Linked DNA regions of Caenorhabditis elegans. The protein of the gene in region 1 purifies or fractionates together with the protein of each later gene. This does not show direct contact. Each region holds a gene or a part of one and is shown in the gene's direction. Other genes may lie near its edges.

Region 1 (4,901 bases):
AGTACTCCACCGAAGTGACTGTCATGAACAGAAAGTTCAATCTCAAACACCATCAGTTTGACAATGATAGGCTTTATCTCCCGACTTTCATGAAATGGGATGATGTTGTGGACTTGACATATGAAGATGAATCAGTAAGATGTTGTGCGAAAGTGGTGGGATTTCGCCATTTAGAGAATGTTGAGCGAAGTTTCGGAGATTGCAGTTATCATGGAACAAGTGACCTGCGGCATGTTACAACTGTCAACTTGACTATTACAGTTGGAAGATACAAGATTTTAGTGAACAAAGATGTAAGATTCACTGAATTATAATTTTTAATGTAAAGTTTGGTTTTTCAGTACCTGATGTCAATGTCAGGATTCTTCCGGACAATTTTAGAGAATGCGGATAAGAACTCCAGGCATGACGATCTCGTGCTAACAGAGTCGAGAGATGAGGCTTTTGTGACTATGATTGATATATGTCATCATAAGTTCTGGTGTAATTGTGAGTTGAAACAGTGAAGATATTTTTCAGCACAGCAAAAATAATTTTTTAGGAAAACTATAATACAAGAAAAAGCAACATAACCTTTTTACGTTATTTTAATCAATTTCGAACTTCAAATTATAGTTTTTCTTTTCAAACCGTTATCTCCATTTTGCCACATGTTCAACTTTCAGACCAACTTAAAGAGGACCTTTTTGAAGTTGCAAAGTTGTACGAGTTTCCATTTGTCATCAACTTCTACAACCAATTTTTCAACTCGGACCGTGCATTTAATGCTGACGACGAGTTGTCTTTAGAAAACACTATGTGATGCAGTTTGACTGTGATTAAAAATTTGGCAACTTTTTAAACTGTATACTCATTTGCTTTGGGATCTCAGCAATAATTTGATATGTATATATTTTTTCTATAAGTCTCTTTATGTTCATGTTTATTTTACAGCAATATCTAGATTTTTTTAAACTCACTTTGAAGATAACTCAGAATAATTTTAATTTATATGGAAAACTTGATCGCGCTAGAATTTATTTCGGCATTTGTCTCAAGCTTCTTGTCCAAGTTTGGCTAAAAATATTAACTTTAGTAAGGTTTGGTTTGGGATGCGTTCAAGTTCTATCCAAGTTTGGCTCACACTTAACAATTGTAAGTTGTGTTTTTTTAAATTCGGGTCAAAGTAAGGCAAGAGTTTTGGATCAAATTTGGATTATACTTTGGCACAACGCAAATTTTGCCAAAGTCCCTTATTATTTGATACTATACAGGCGAATAATTTATTCGTAAATACAAATAAATGTAAAGAGAAAGTCACAAGTTTTTTAAGCTATTCAACTAATCAGTGAACGACAAATTTGTATTTGAATTCTATTAGTTTGAGAAAGTTTTAAACTATTTCAAAGTGGTATGTATGTATACACGTACATTTGTAAATTTCAAATAATATATCACGCAAAGTTTCTAAACAAATACGAATTATTCATCGAAATGTTGAGAAAATAACGATTTGGGAACCAAACCATTAACCCGGTAGTTTGAGGGAATAGATATGAGATGAAAGCTTAGAGCTTGGCACCACCGGACCTACCTCAGCCATTTATTTTCCAAACCACACTCTGAGCAGTCTCCACCCTCAAGTCTGTCTTCATTTTACTCATCACATAAATTGGAAAGTGACTCGAGTTTTTGGAGAGGAAAAGAGAGAAGAAACTTGGATGAGTGGAGGAAAATGAAGCGAAAAAAAAACACGTGTCATCATTGTGCACAGCACAAGGGGAAAGACCAAAGCGAAGATAATGAGATCAAAAGAGAAATGAGAGGTTTTTCCTCCCGGCGGGAGAGGGGAGAAGCCGCAGAAGAGCGGTCCGCCTGGTTACATGAAGAGAGAAAGAGTGAAGAAGACAGCTGTCCGGACTGCTTGACGTAGACTTTTTGACTGGAAGGTGGAGTTTCGGACTGTGCGAGTAGAGATACGCATTGCGTTGTTCCGACTTCCAGCCATGCAGACGCTGCGCAATCCCTTGTCCATTTTTAGAGCGCGGTAAGTTTTGCTCAAAAAATTACACAGGTGTTTGGCAACGTGAAATATTGAAACGTTGTGTTGTTCTAGTATATTCCAACCCCCACTAATTTTAATTACGTTTTTTCGATGAAATAGGTAAGAATTCTACTACTCAATTTTTATATTCATACAACACCTTTTGTATCAACTTACACGGTAATTTCATTGTACTCAAACTTTTTAAAATCAAGTTTCGACCATTGCCTTGATCTGAAAATACTTAGTTACTTACTTAGACAATCCGTTCTTCAGGAATTCGTGGTATTCCTGCGCATCACAGCAAGCCATTCTTTTTGGTCCTTGGCTATAATGGACCAAATTGGTTTTTTCATCAATATTTTGTTAGAAATTGTGTTCATCGCGAAACTTAATGTGTTTCATCAAGTGAATATGAGACAGATAACGTTTTTATTTATTCTCTAAATACAATTGTGTGAGCTTTCTTAGAATTTGAGAAACGGTTTTTTTTCTCAAAGTTTCTATATTTGAGTTATATAATTTTTCTTGACAGTAATTGTCACATAAAACTCAATCGATACAAAAATAGTGTATTAAAATATTCAATATAACTTTTTCCACCAAATTGTTATTTTTTCCACGAGTTGTTTTCTACAAAACTGATATTGAAGAAAAATAGGTTTTCAATATTTACCAATATATCAAGCTTTACAAAATTGTTTGGTCGAATGAAAAATGTACTGTTCACTTTTTCAACTCAATTAGGTTATAATCAAAGCTTTAGTCTGCTGATTTCACTCTGTTTAGCTTCAAATGTAGCCTGATCCTTTCGTACTTTTTTTAAAATGAAACTGAACACTTTTCCGCAAGTACAATGTTATACTGACACATAGCTTTTCAAAAATCACTTTTTCTCGTTCTGTTTCCCTTTTAGTTTTGAGTTCAATGACAAATTCTTCTCATCTTTCGCATTGAACAGATAGCTAGTGTTACTTGTTGATGCTCTCATCTAGTTTACACAACCTCTCCCACATCAGAATGTTATTGGGTATTGAACAAGTTCCAGGAATAGGGGTGGGGAAATATTTTTCGAGAAAAAACACTAATTTCGTACTTCCAAATCATTTTTCAACACAAATTGCAGATCACGAAGTCGGGAACGAAGCACTCCTCAACGAGCTGTCACTCAATCAGAAAAGTCGGACAAATCTCGGTCAGTTGTGTTGTGTTTTTTTTTCTTTCAGCTCATGCGTCATGGGTGTGATATTTTGTTTTTTTTGGAGCATTTCAGTTTTTAAAAATCTAATTTTTTGTTGTTTTTCAGCTTCCCAAGCATCAATAATTATTTATTATTTTCAGAAACAAAAATGAGTCCACCAACGAAAAAAAGAGCATCACAGTGAGCAGTAGTGATGTTAGCAGCAAAACCCAGCTCACAAAGCCCAACAACGAACCAAAATCCAAAGCCACCCCTGACAAAGCCACAACTCAAAAATTGTTCATGAAACGTGACAAGAATGCAACAGAATGTCTGGCAGAGACCAAGATTGAGAGGAAATCAATGTAAGTCACAATGATCCTCAGACGATTGGAGGTCTTTCTCAACTTCCAGATGTCGAGAAAAAACGCACAAGAGCATTGTGCTTCCGCAGCCACGGTTTTACACTTGTGAACGAATTCAGAAGACTGTTAAGCTGCCGGACAAGAGTAAAAGTAGTTCAGCGGTAAGTATTTATGATTTTTTGGGATAGGATAGAAAAAGAATAACAAATATTTAAAAACAAACCCCCCAAGTCAAAAATTTCACTGAGATAAGTTCTGAGAACTTCTTAAAAACTATGCTTTTGAATCCTGGTAATAAAAAAATCACAGGTAATTTTCAAAAATTGAATAAAGAAAACAACCTAATTTTCGTCGGTCTTTTTGACTTTGTAATAGAATCTCTTGAAAATTTGTCAAAGCAATTTTTGTGGTGGTTCCATAATCAATCTCAATATGCAAAGTTTTTAAAATTACGACGGGTGAAGAAATCTACAATTTTCTACCAAGAAATATAATTTTAAACTGTATTCTACTATCTAAACAACTTTAAATACGTAAAAACTGCGCAAAAACCGTATTTCGAGCCATCTATCAAATTCCAACTACCAAAAAAAAAATCACTTAACATATTCCAGATCAACACTTTTCAGTTTAGAGTTCAGAACTGAACATTGATTTTAAACACAGAATTGCAAATTTAAAAAATTCCTCTGCAAAATTTTGTGTTTTTGTCTCTGAACCATGCTCCCAAACAGTACACCCAAGATTATAGAAAAATATTCTAATGATTTGTTTGAAATTGGAATCAAAAGTGCAATCCCACAAATCCCTGTGCACAATCATAATCCCCCACACCAGCGGTTGTCCAGCAGTTGAATCCAGCCGTCTGTTATAAACATGTGTTGTTGACCCAAATTGAGTCATAAATTTTATGACCCTTATTGTTGAACCCAGACACCAAGGAACCCCCCCCCCTCATGTTTCTTGGAATTCGATTCATTTGAATTTTCTTCAGATGAGCATCAAGAAATCAACGCACTGGTGTTACGTTGCCGCGCCAAAGCACATCACTCTACAGCCGGGCCCGTCGAGTGTCGGCGACGGATTTTCGACTGAAGCCATGATCGAGGAGATCTTCGCCCCGCTACGAGACACCATAAAAGAGGGCATCGAAGAGGCACGACATTTATCTTCATCTCCGGGTAGGTATTTCGACTTTTATTACTGTTTTACAACAAATTGATGGCCAGAAGATGTTTTATTTATTACTTACGGGAAAATGTTCGATTTATTGAAATTTATTGCCAAATAATACATGCTAGGAGCATTGGAATTGAATTCAAAACTTTCAAGC
Region 2 (7,938 bases), on another chromosome or scaffold:
CGGCAGATTGCCCGAATTCAAAATTTCCGGCAAATCGGCAATTTTTCGAAAATTAAAATTTCCAGCAAATCGGCAATTTTCTGAAAATGAAAATTTCCGGCAAATCTGCAATTTTCTGAAAATGAAAATTTCCGGCAACCCGGCAAATGTCCGAATTTTTTCCTAAAATGAAAATTCCGGCAAATCGGCAAACCGGCAGATTGCCCGAGTTCAAAATTTCCGGCAAATCTGCAATTTTCTGAAAATGAAAATTTCCGGCAACCCGGCAAATGTCCGAATTTTTTCCTAAATAGAAAATTCCGGCAAATCGGCAAACCGGCAGATTGCCCGAGTTCAAAATTTCCGGCAAATCTGCAATTTTCTGAAAATGAAAATTTCCGGCAACCCGGCAAATGTCCGAATTTTTTCCTAAAATGAAAATTCCGGCAAATCGGCAAACCGGCAGATTGCCCGAGTTCAAAATTTCCGGCAAATCTGCAAATTTCTGAAAATGAAAATTTCCGGCAACCCGGCAAATGCCCGAATTTTTTCCTAAAATGAAAATTTCCGGCAAATCGGCAATTTTTTGAAAATGAAAATTTCCAGCAAATGGGCAATTTTCTGAAAATGAAAATTTCCGGCAACCCGGCAAATGTCCGAATTTTTTCCTAAAATGAAAAATTTCGGCAAATCGCCAAACCGGCAGATTGCCCGAATTCAAAATTTCCGGCAAATCGGCAATGTTTCGAAAATTAAAATTTCCAGCAAATCGGAAATTTTCTGAAAATGAAAATTTTCGGCAAATCTGCAATTTTCCTAAAATGAAAATTCCGGCAAATCGGCAAACCGGCAGATTGCCCGAGTTCAAAATTTCCGGCAAATCTGCAATTTTCTGAAAATGAAAATTTCCGGCAAACCGGCAATTTGTCGATTTGCCGAATTTGCCGGAAAACGACAATTGCCTCCCATCCCTGGTTCAATGCCCATGACAGAGACAAATTTTCAGGCAGAATTGTTGGGGCACTGCATTTCATCCAAAAATTCAAAAAAAAAATGCGCGTCAAATCTGGTGTATTTTGACTCTGCCCAACAAAGTGTGCTTACATCTTTCATGTTCTTGTAGACCGTATTCGCGTCCTTGGCCTTCAGCTCCTCATAAAACTCGGGATCCGTCCCATCGACCGGCTTATCGAGCCCCAACTCCTTCACAATGTCGTGAAGCGGAAAATCGGCGGCATCCGGGACACCCGGCGGCGGAGCAGCTCGCTTAGCGATTTCAGCGTCCAGAAGGTTCTGCTCCTCGTCGGACAATGGTGGAATCACCGAGTACTTCTGCAAAAAAAGAGCAATTCAAAATTCCCGGCTTGCAAAGTGCTCTCCAATTCTAATTCTCACCCGTGCCTTGATGTCCTGCTCGATTTGCTCGGCGCGGAGCAAGATGGCTTCCTTGTCCAAGTGAAGATCGCCGAGTTGCTCACAAATTTCGGTTTCCATGATAAAGGAAATGATTGATTTTTTGTGGTTCTTTTTTCTAGTTTAATCAAAATCGAACATTCTCGAAGTTTATACACGTTTTCCTGTCATTTGGGGTTTCACGCAAAAAAACCCTGATTTGAATTGCCGCGTTTTTAACGAGAGGTGCGCGCAAGCGCGCTCTAGTGAGACAGCGCGAAATGTTGATTTTCATTTTCTTTTCGGAGGGAAAATTTTCAGTTTTCGTGGTTTTTGGAATATTCCATGAAATCAGTTGTTCTCGATTTTTCTTCAATTTTCACAGATTTTATGTTAAAAATCGAATTATTCGCTTAATTTCTCACATTTTCCCATGAAAAATCATTGAATTTCCGTCATTTATCGATTTTTTTGCAGTAAAAATGGAAGAGAATCCTACTTTGGATGAAAACTCACTTCCATCCACATCGGCACCACCAGAGCCAATTCCAGAGCATAAGGAACATACGGAAGAACCAAAAAGGTTGGTTTTTACCCTCAATTCTCGATAAAATCTCTCAATTTCCAGACCTGCTCGCCGTCGTTCCTCGCTTGGCATCAAAATCATGAGCTCATTCATTAGTTCCGGCTCCGAAGACGTGATGAGCCCCGTTCAAAAGCGTGTACAGCCGAAACGAATGGCTCAGCTGAAAATCGCGCCGCTACCGTTGGTTCAGCCGCCGCCACCACCGAGAACTCGTGCTTGTCAGCGGCCGATTCGATATTCGGTGAGGATTTGAGCTGCGAAAGCTGAAAATTTCCAGATTTTTGCCGGAAAAGTGCCTCAAAAATGAAGATTTTGGCTGAAAATCAATTATTTTGATCGATTTTTGTATTTCAAAGGCTCATGAAATTCAAAAACTGATAAATGGGTCTCACAACGTTTTTTCAACGATTCTAATTTCAGTTCGACGTTGGAGAACGTGTCGCCGTGAAGCCATGCCTCAAATCCGCCACCAAAACGCCGATTCGAGTTCGTCCAGCTGACGGTGCGATGATCCCGCCACGAAAATCGCTGACCCAGCAGGCCGCTCAACGTGTGATGCAGAAATATCGTAGAAGCATGTCGAAAACGCCGCAAAAGCGTGGAACATCGGGAAAACTGAAGTTCAACAAGATATGCTCGATTCGAGTGATAACGCCGAGGCCCAATTATGTTAGTAGGCTGCGGAATAAGCTGAAAAATCGATTTTTTGCCGAAAAATCGCTGAAAGTCCCCGAAATTTTAAGAGAAAACACGTTTTTAGCGCGGTTTTTAACTGAAAAATGCCAGATTTTCGTTGAAAAAACCAAGTTTTCTCTCGGAAATCCGTGAATTTTCCAGTTTTTGGCGTTTTTAGTATTTTTAAAGCCAAAAATAAGTCTGAAATTACTGAAAATGGGCTTATTTTCACAAAAAGTACACTAATTTGACACTTTTTCACCCGAAAAACTTCACATTTTCATCAAAATCTGCAACTTTTCCCCGTGTACTCCTCTCGGACAATCTCTTTTTTTTGCAGAATCCAAACGATTTGGTGATGCCACACTCGGACGATGAGGAGGACACGATGAATCCGAACAGAGAACGCCTCAGCACAGTAAAACTCCGATTGACACCTACGTCACAGGCAAAGGTAAAAAATGGGTGGAGTCTAATATTGATTTTTTCTTCAATTTTTTCTTTCAGCTCGAGCAAATGCAATCGGAGGACGTTTTCCAATTCAACGCGGAAATGGTGTTCGGCGACGGAGGAGGAGGCTCTGCACCATCCACGTCATCAATTGCATCCTACTCGGCTGAATCTGTGACGGAGACCGCACTTGAGTCGGTGAACACGAAATCGGTGGAATCGAAAACGCGACCATCATCACGCCGGAAATCTCTCATCCTCGGCGCAGCGTCACCTCTGAAGTCGCCAGCGAAAATTGAGAAGCCGAGATTGGAGGAGCCAGAGCAAAAATCCAAGCGATCCCGTAGATCGCTTCGTCTGAATCCGGATGCCATAGAGCCTCCGGTGAAGTCGTGTGATTTGCTGGAAGACGAACGCGAGGAAAGCAGCTCGAAAAAACGAGAAAACCACGATCCCGGCTATGATCTGGAGCCCCTGGCGAAACGAGGACCTCTTAAATCGGAAATTCACAGCTTTTTCGCGCCGAGATCTGCCAAGAAACCTGTGGTGTCTCTGGATGGGGAAGCCGACTCCGTGGAAGTCAACTGTGTGGAAATGGCGGTGGAATCCGAGAAGAAACAACGCAAAAATCGCAGATATTCAGCGTACTTTGGATCTGCGGAAAAGGAGGTGGAATCTATTTCCAAACCACTTGAAGCTGAGAAGAAGAGATCGCGAAGATCCTCTGCATATTCCGGAAACTCCGTGGAATCGAAATCTCTGGAATCGAAATCTCTGGATAAGGAGGTGGAGCCTAAGGTCCGAACAGCTCGGAAATCAATGGCTGCAAAATCCGTGGAACCAAAAACCCTGGAAAAAGATGCCGAGCCATCTCGGAAATCTGAGTCTCCGGAAAAAACCGTGGAGCCTCCTGCAAAATCATCGGAAGAGATCAAAGAGGAGAAGAAGAAACTCAAAATCCGTAGATCTTCTGCGTACTTCAGAGTTGCGAAGCCCCTGCCCACTTCTGACGACGCAGCGCCGGAAACCGAGGAAGAAATTGTGGTTATTTCGAGTCCTGAGGCGCCGGAAAATGGGAAATTGGCGACGATTTTTTCGAAATCAACTCCAGTAGTGGGAAATAAGAAGATGCTAGAGCTGAAAAAGGCGGAGGTACACAATTTTTTAGATTTTTGAGAGAAAAATTAAGAAAATTCAATTATTTATTTCTAGAAAATCAAAAAATCGTCGAAAAATGATTTTTTTTGAAAGCTTTTTTTGGAAACTAACACTGGTTTTCTATTAAAAAAATTCGAAAAAGCCTAATTTTTAGCCGAAAAAGCCTTCTTTTTCTTAAAAACCCAATTTTCCAGACCAAATCAACTCCACCAACAAGCCAAAAGCCCAGCAGCTCCGGCCCAGTTTTCTCGATTTTCTCTCCAAAACCTGTGAAGCCTGCAGTCACTCCAAAAGTGACAACTCTATCGGATAGCCCAATGGGATCAGTTTCAGGCCCGCCGAGCTCCAGCTTCTCCAAAAAGAGCAACGGAGTCCGTCGAAAAGAGCATTGGGGAGATTTGTGCGCTGAAACCTATCAGTTTTTCGAGAAAATCCCAATTTTGCCAGCGATTTTCGAGGAATTCGCAGAAATCGACGATGGGAAGATCTTCAAATCTAGAAGTTTCGACCCAAAAATTCTAGATTCAACTGGGATTGTCTCTGAGCTTCAGGAGGATCTCCTTGAGCTCCATAAGCCCTACGAGCGAAGCCGGGAACTCACAATGGCTCAAAATCCGCCGGATTCATCGCTGGAAAAGCTGGAAGTGCCCCAAAATAGCTGCACAACAACAATATATCCGTCGACGATGGATTCACTGGTAGAAGGAGCCGAAGAAGAGCCAACGGTGCGGGGATGGCTCCGAAGATGGAAGCGTCGAGTGCGGAAAGCCATGGAGCGAGAGATTGCGGAGCAGCAGGGGAAGAAGAAAAAGAGGAAGCGACGGGATGAGGATCATGAATCCGATGAGGATTATGAAGTGGAGCATCAGGATGATGATCTGGAGAATCCTCTGGTGTTGATTGGACCGTCTGGAGTTGGAAAGACCGCCTTGGTACGGGATGAAGCTTGGAGATTTTCAGAAAAAATTGGAATTTTTGGAAAAAAATCAGAAACTTTTGAATAAAAAAGCTCTAATTCAGGGTTGCTCAGAAATCGGAAATTTTTGGCAATTTCGGCAATTGCCGGTTTTATATATTTTCGGCAATTTCTGCAATTGCCTGTTTTGAAAACATTCGGCAATTGCCGGTTTTGGAAATTTTTGACGAATTCGGCAATTTTTGCAATTGCCGGTTTCCAAAATTTCCAGCAAATTCGGTAATTGCCGGTTTTGGAAATTTTTGGCGAATTCGGCAATTTCTGTAATTGCCAGTTTTGAAAATTTCCAGCAAATTCGGCAATTGCCGGTTTTGGAAATTTTTGGCGAATTCGGCAATTTCTGTAATTGCCAGTTTTGAAAATTTCCAGCAAATTCGGCAATTGCCGGTTTTGGAAATTTTTGGCGAATTCGGCAATTTCTGCAACTGCCAGTTTTGAAAATTTTCGGAAATCGGCAAATTCTGCAATTGCCGGTTTTGGAAATTTCCGGCAATTCCTGCAATTGCCGGTTTCCAAAACTTCCGGCAATTACGGCACTCAAAAATGGTAAACTTCTTGTGTTTTTTCAACGAAAATTAATGTTAAAAAATCGTCTTTTTTTAAACGAAAACTCTAACATTTTCTGCAAGAAAAAAATCTGGTTTTCTCCAAAAATTTAAAATTTTTTGCAGTTCCGTGCTCTCGCCAAGCAAGAAAACATGCGTATAATCTCAATTGGCCCGGAAACCGGCAGAAGTGGCTCAGAGATCAAGAGAAACCTTCAGGAGGCTCTCCGTTCTCATCGTGTGGATCAGCAGCCGCATCCGACTCGTACCATCCCGTTTTACAAGACAATTCCGCGTGAAACTCCAGCACCACCACCACAACTGGCGCCAAAGGATTTTGTGCAGAGTCTAGTGGTCTTTGAGCATGTCGATGTGTTCTTTGAGACTCTCGATCGTCATGGGATCCTTGGACTTCTGGAAGCTGTGAATGAAGCTGCCGTGCCGGTTGTGTTCACTTGTGAGCAAGAATGGCCACGACGATGGGGACAAGTTGAGCTACGGAGGCCCCATTTGGAGATTTGCTTGAATAGAAATCAATGCAGAGTACAGAAATATGTACAGGTACTTCTAGAAATTTCAGAAACATTTTTAAGATCAAAATGATCAAAAATCGAATTTTCTACTAATTTCGGCTTAAAATGAAGCGGAAAAGACGCTAAAAAAATTTCCAGAAATTTCCAAAAAAACACATTTCCAGCGAAATTGTTCCTCTAAACCTCGGTTTTGGTGAAAAATTCCCGATTTTTTTTGGAATTTTGAGCTTAACTACTGAAAACTGGTTTCCAAAATTAATTTTTTTCGAATTTATAATATTTTTTATCAGATTGATTTCCAAAAAGGTGGAAAAAAAATTTAGCGAAAAATTTAAATTTTAAAAAAATTATTAAAATTCTTTTAATTTCAGAATCTCGTCTACTCGTGCCGTAACGTGATTATCGACGACGCGACGATCAAGCAGCTCTCCGAGTCCGTGAATCACGATCTGAGTGCTCTCCTCCATCAAGCTCATCTTTTCTCGCTGGCTCCACACCGCCCATTCCCACTTACAACTCGCCATCTCGTTTCAACCGGATTCTCCGAGCACTGGGAAAAGCCACGTTGCAGCTTAACCAAGACACAGGAACGAATGGAGGAGCTCTTCGAGCAGTACGCGGATGTTCTCCCAGACGGAGCAGTGGCTCTGAGCCGCTCACCGGGAGTGGAGAAACTATGGGATACGGATCGCCAGAAGCTCGCGGAATCTCAGGCTGGATATTCGGAAGGTGTCCGGAACGCTTACGAGGCTCTCAATGGACGATTTTCGCGGCGAGACCTGGTTCAAGATGTGCTCCCGATGCTCGTGCCAATGGATCGTGTCGAACGTCAGAAACGGGTCCGATCACGGCGACACTTGCATCGATTCAAGCAGTACTCGAAGGACTTCCCGATGGACGGAGATCAACTGATAAATGTGGTTGGCGGATGGAGCATGAGCCTTTGAAGCCAAGCATTTCTATTATTTTTCTGTCAAATAATTTATTTTTTTCCCATTAATTTATTTTTTCTGTATAATAGTTTATTTATTTATTTATTTTATTTTCAATTCCCCCAATACCGCAAAAATTAACATCGTTGTGAATGAAAATGGGGCAGCTTTAAATTTTAATTCCGTTAAAATTTGACACTCGACTTTAAAGGTACACACTATTTTTCTGAATGGGTCTCACCACGATCACAGCCACACGTTTTCTTCTTATAAGGTCCAGAAGAGACGCAGACATATTGGGGCCCAGTGGGCACGTATTTCGGGCTGACATTGTGTGGATTTACGGAGCGTGAATATGTGGGGGTGCAAGCGCGCTCCACTGACAATTGAAAACGCCCCGCCCCTGAACCGCGGGTCTCGTTAGGTATTTGCCGGCAATATTGTAAATTCAAACGTTTCCCATCGTTTTTTTGGGAATTTTTATGCCGAATTCGATATTTTTAAAACTTTATAAAAATTTAATAGAAACTCTATTCGCTATTCATGAATTTTTAAAACATTATTTCGGAATAATTTTCAGACTCTGATTGAAAATCACTGGTTTTTTCGAAATTCTACGGTTTTTCTCAAAAATTTGATTGTCGCTTCGAGACCCATACAGATTTACGGAGTTCTATAGAACTATTTTGGCTTGTCAATTACTATGGGGTGA

The links.
Region 2: the proteins of F35B3.7 (region 1) and Y53F4B.9 fractionate together in Caenorhabditis elegans (co-fractionation; one large-scale study listed by BioGRID). This does not show direct contact.

Annotation. Positions count from the first base shown.
Region 1 is NC_003284.9:17,040,016-17,044,916, reverse strand, and holds the start of F35B3.7 (Leucine-rich repeat-containing protein), read left to right. Parts: upstream 1-1,838; 5' UTR 1,839-1,985; coding exon 1,986-2,026; intron 2,027-3,149; coding exon 3,150-3,218; intron 3,219-3,364; coding exon 3,365-3,568; intron 3,569-3,617; coding exon 3,618-3,729; intron 3,730-4,562; coding exon 4,563-4,749; intron 4,750-4,901. Other genes in the region: C30G4.2 (BTB domain-containing protein), read left to right, coding at 1-293, 342-489, 666-802.
Region 2 is NC_003280.10:15,004,327-15,012,264, reverse strand, and holds Y53F4B.9 (AAA+ ATPase domain-containing protein), read left to right. Parts: upstream 1-1,848; 5' UTR 1,849-1,853; coding exon 1,854-1,954; intron 1,955-1,999; coding exon 2,000-2,198; intron 2,199-2,377; coding exon 2,378-2,626; intron 2,627-2,972; coding exon 2,973-3,086; intron 3,087-3,139; coding exon 3,140-4,234; intron 4,235-4,434; coding exon 4,435-5,172; intron 5,173-5,887; coding exon 5,888-6,322; intron 6,323-6,665; coding exon 6,666-7,241; 3' UTR 7,242-7,401; downstream 7,402-7,938. Other genes in the region: Y53F4B.11 (uncharacterized protein), read right to left, coding at 1,084-1,311, 1,375-1,473.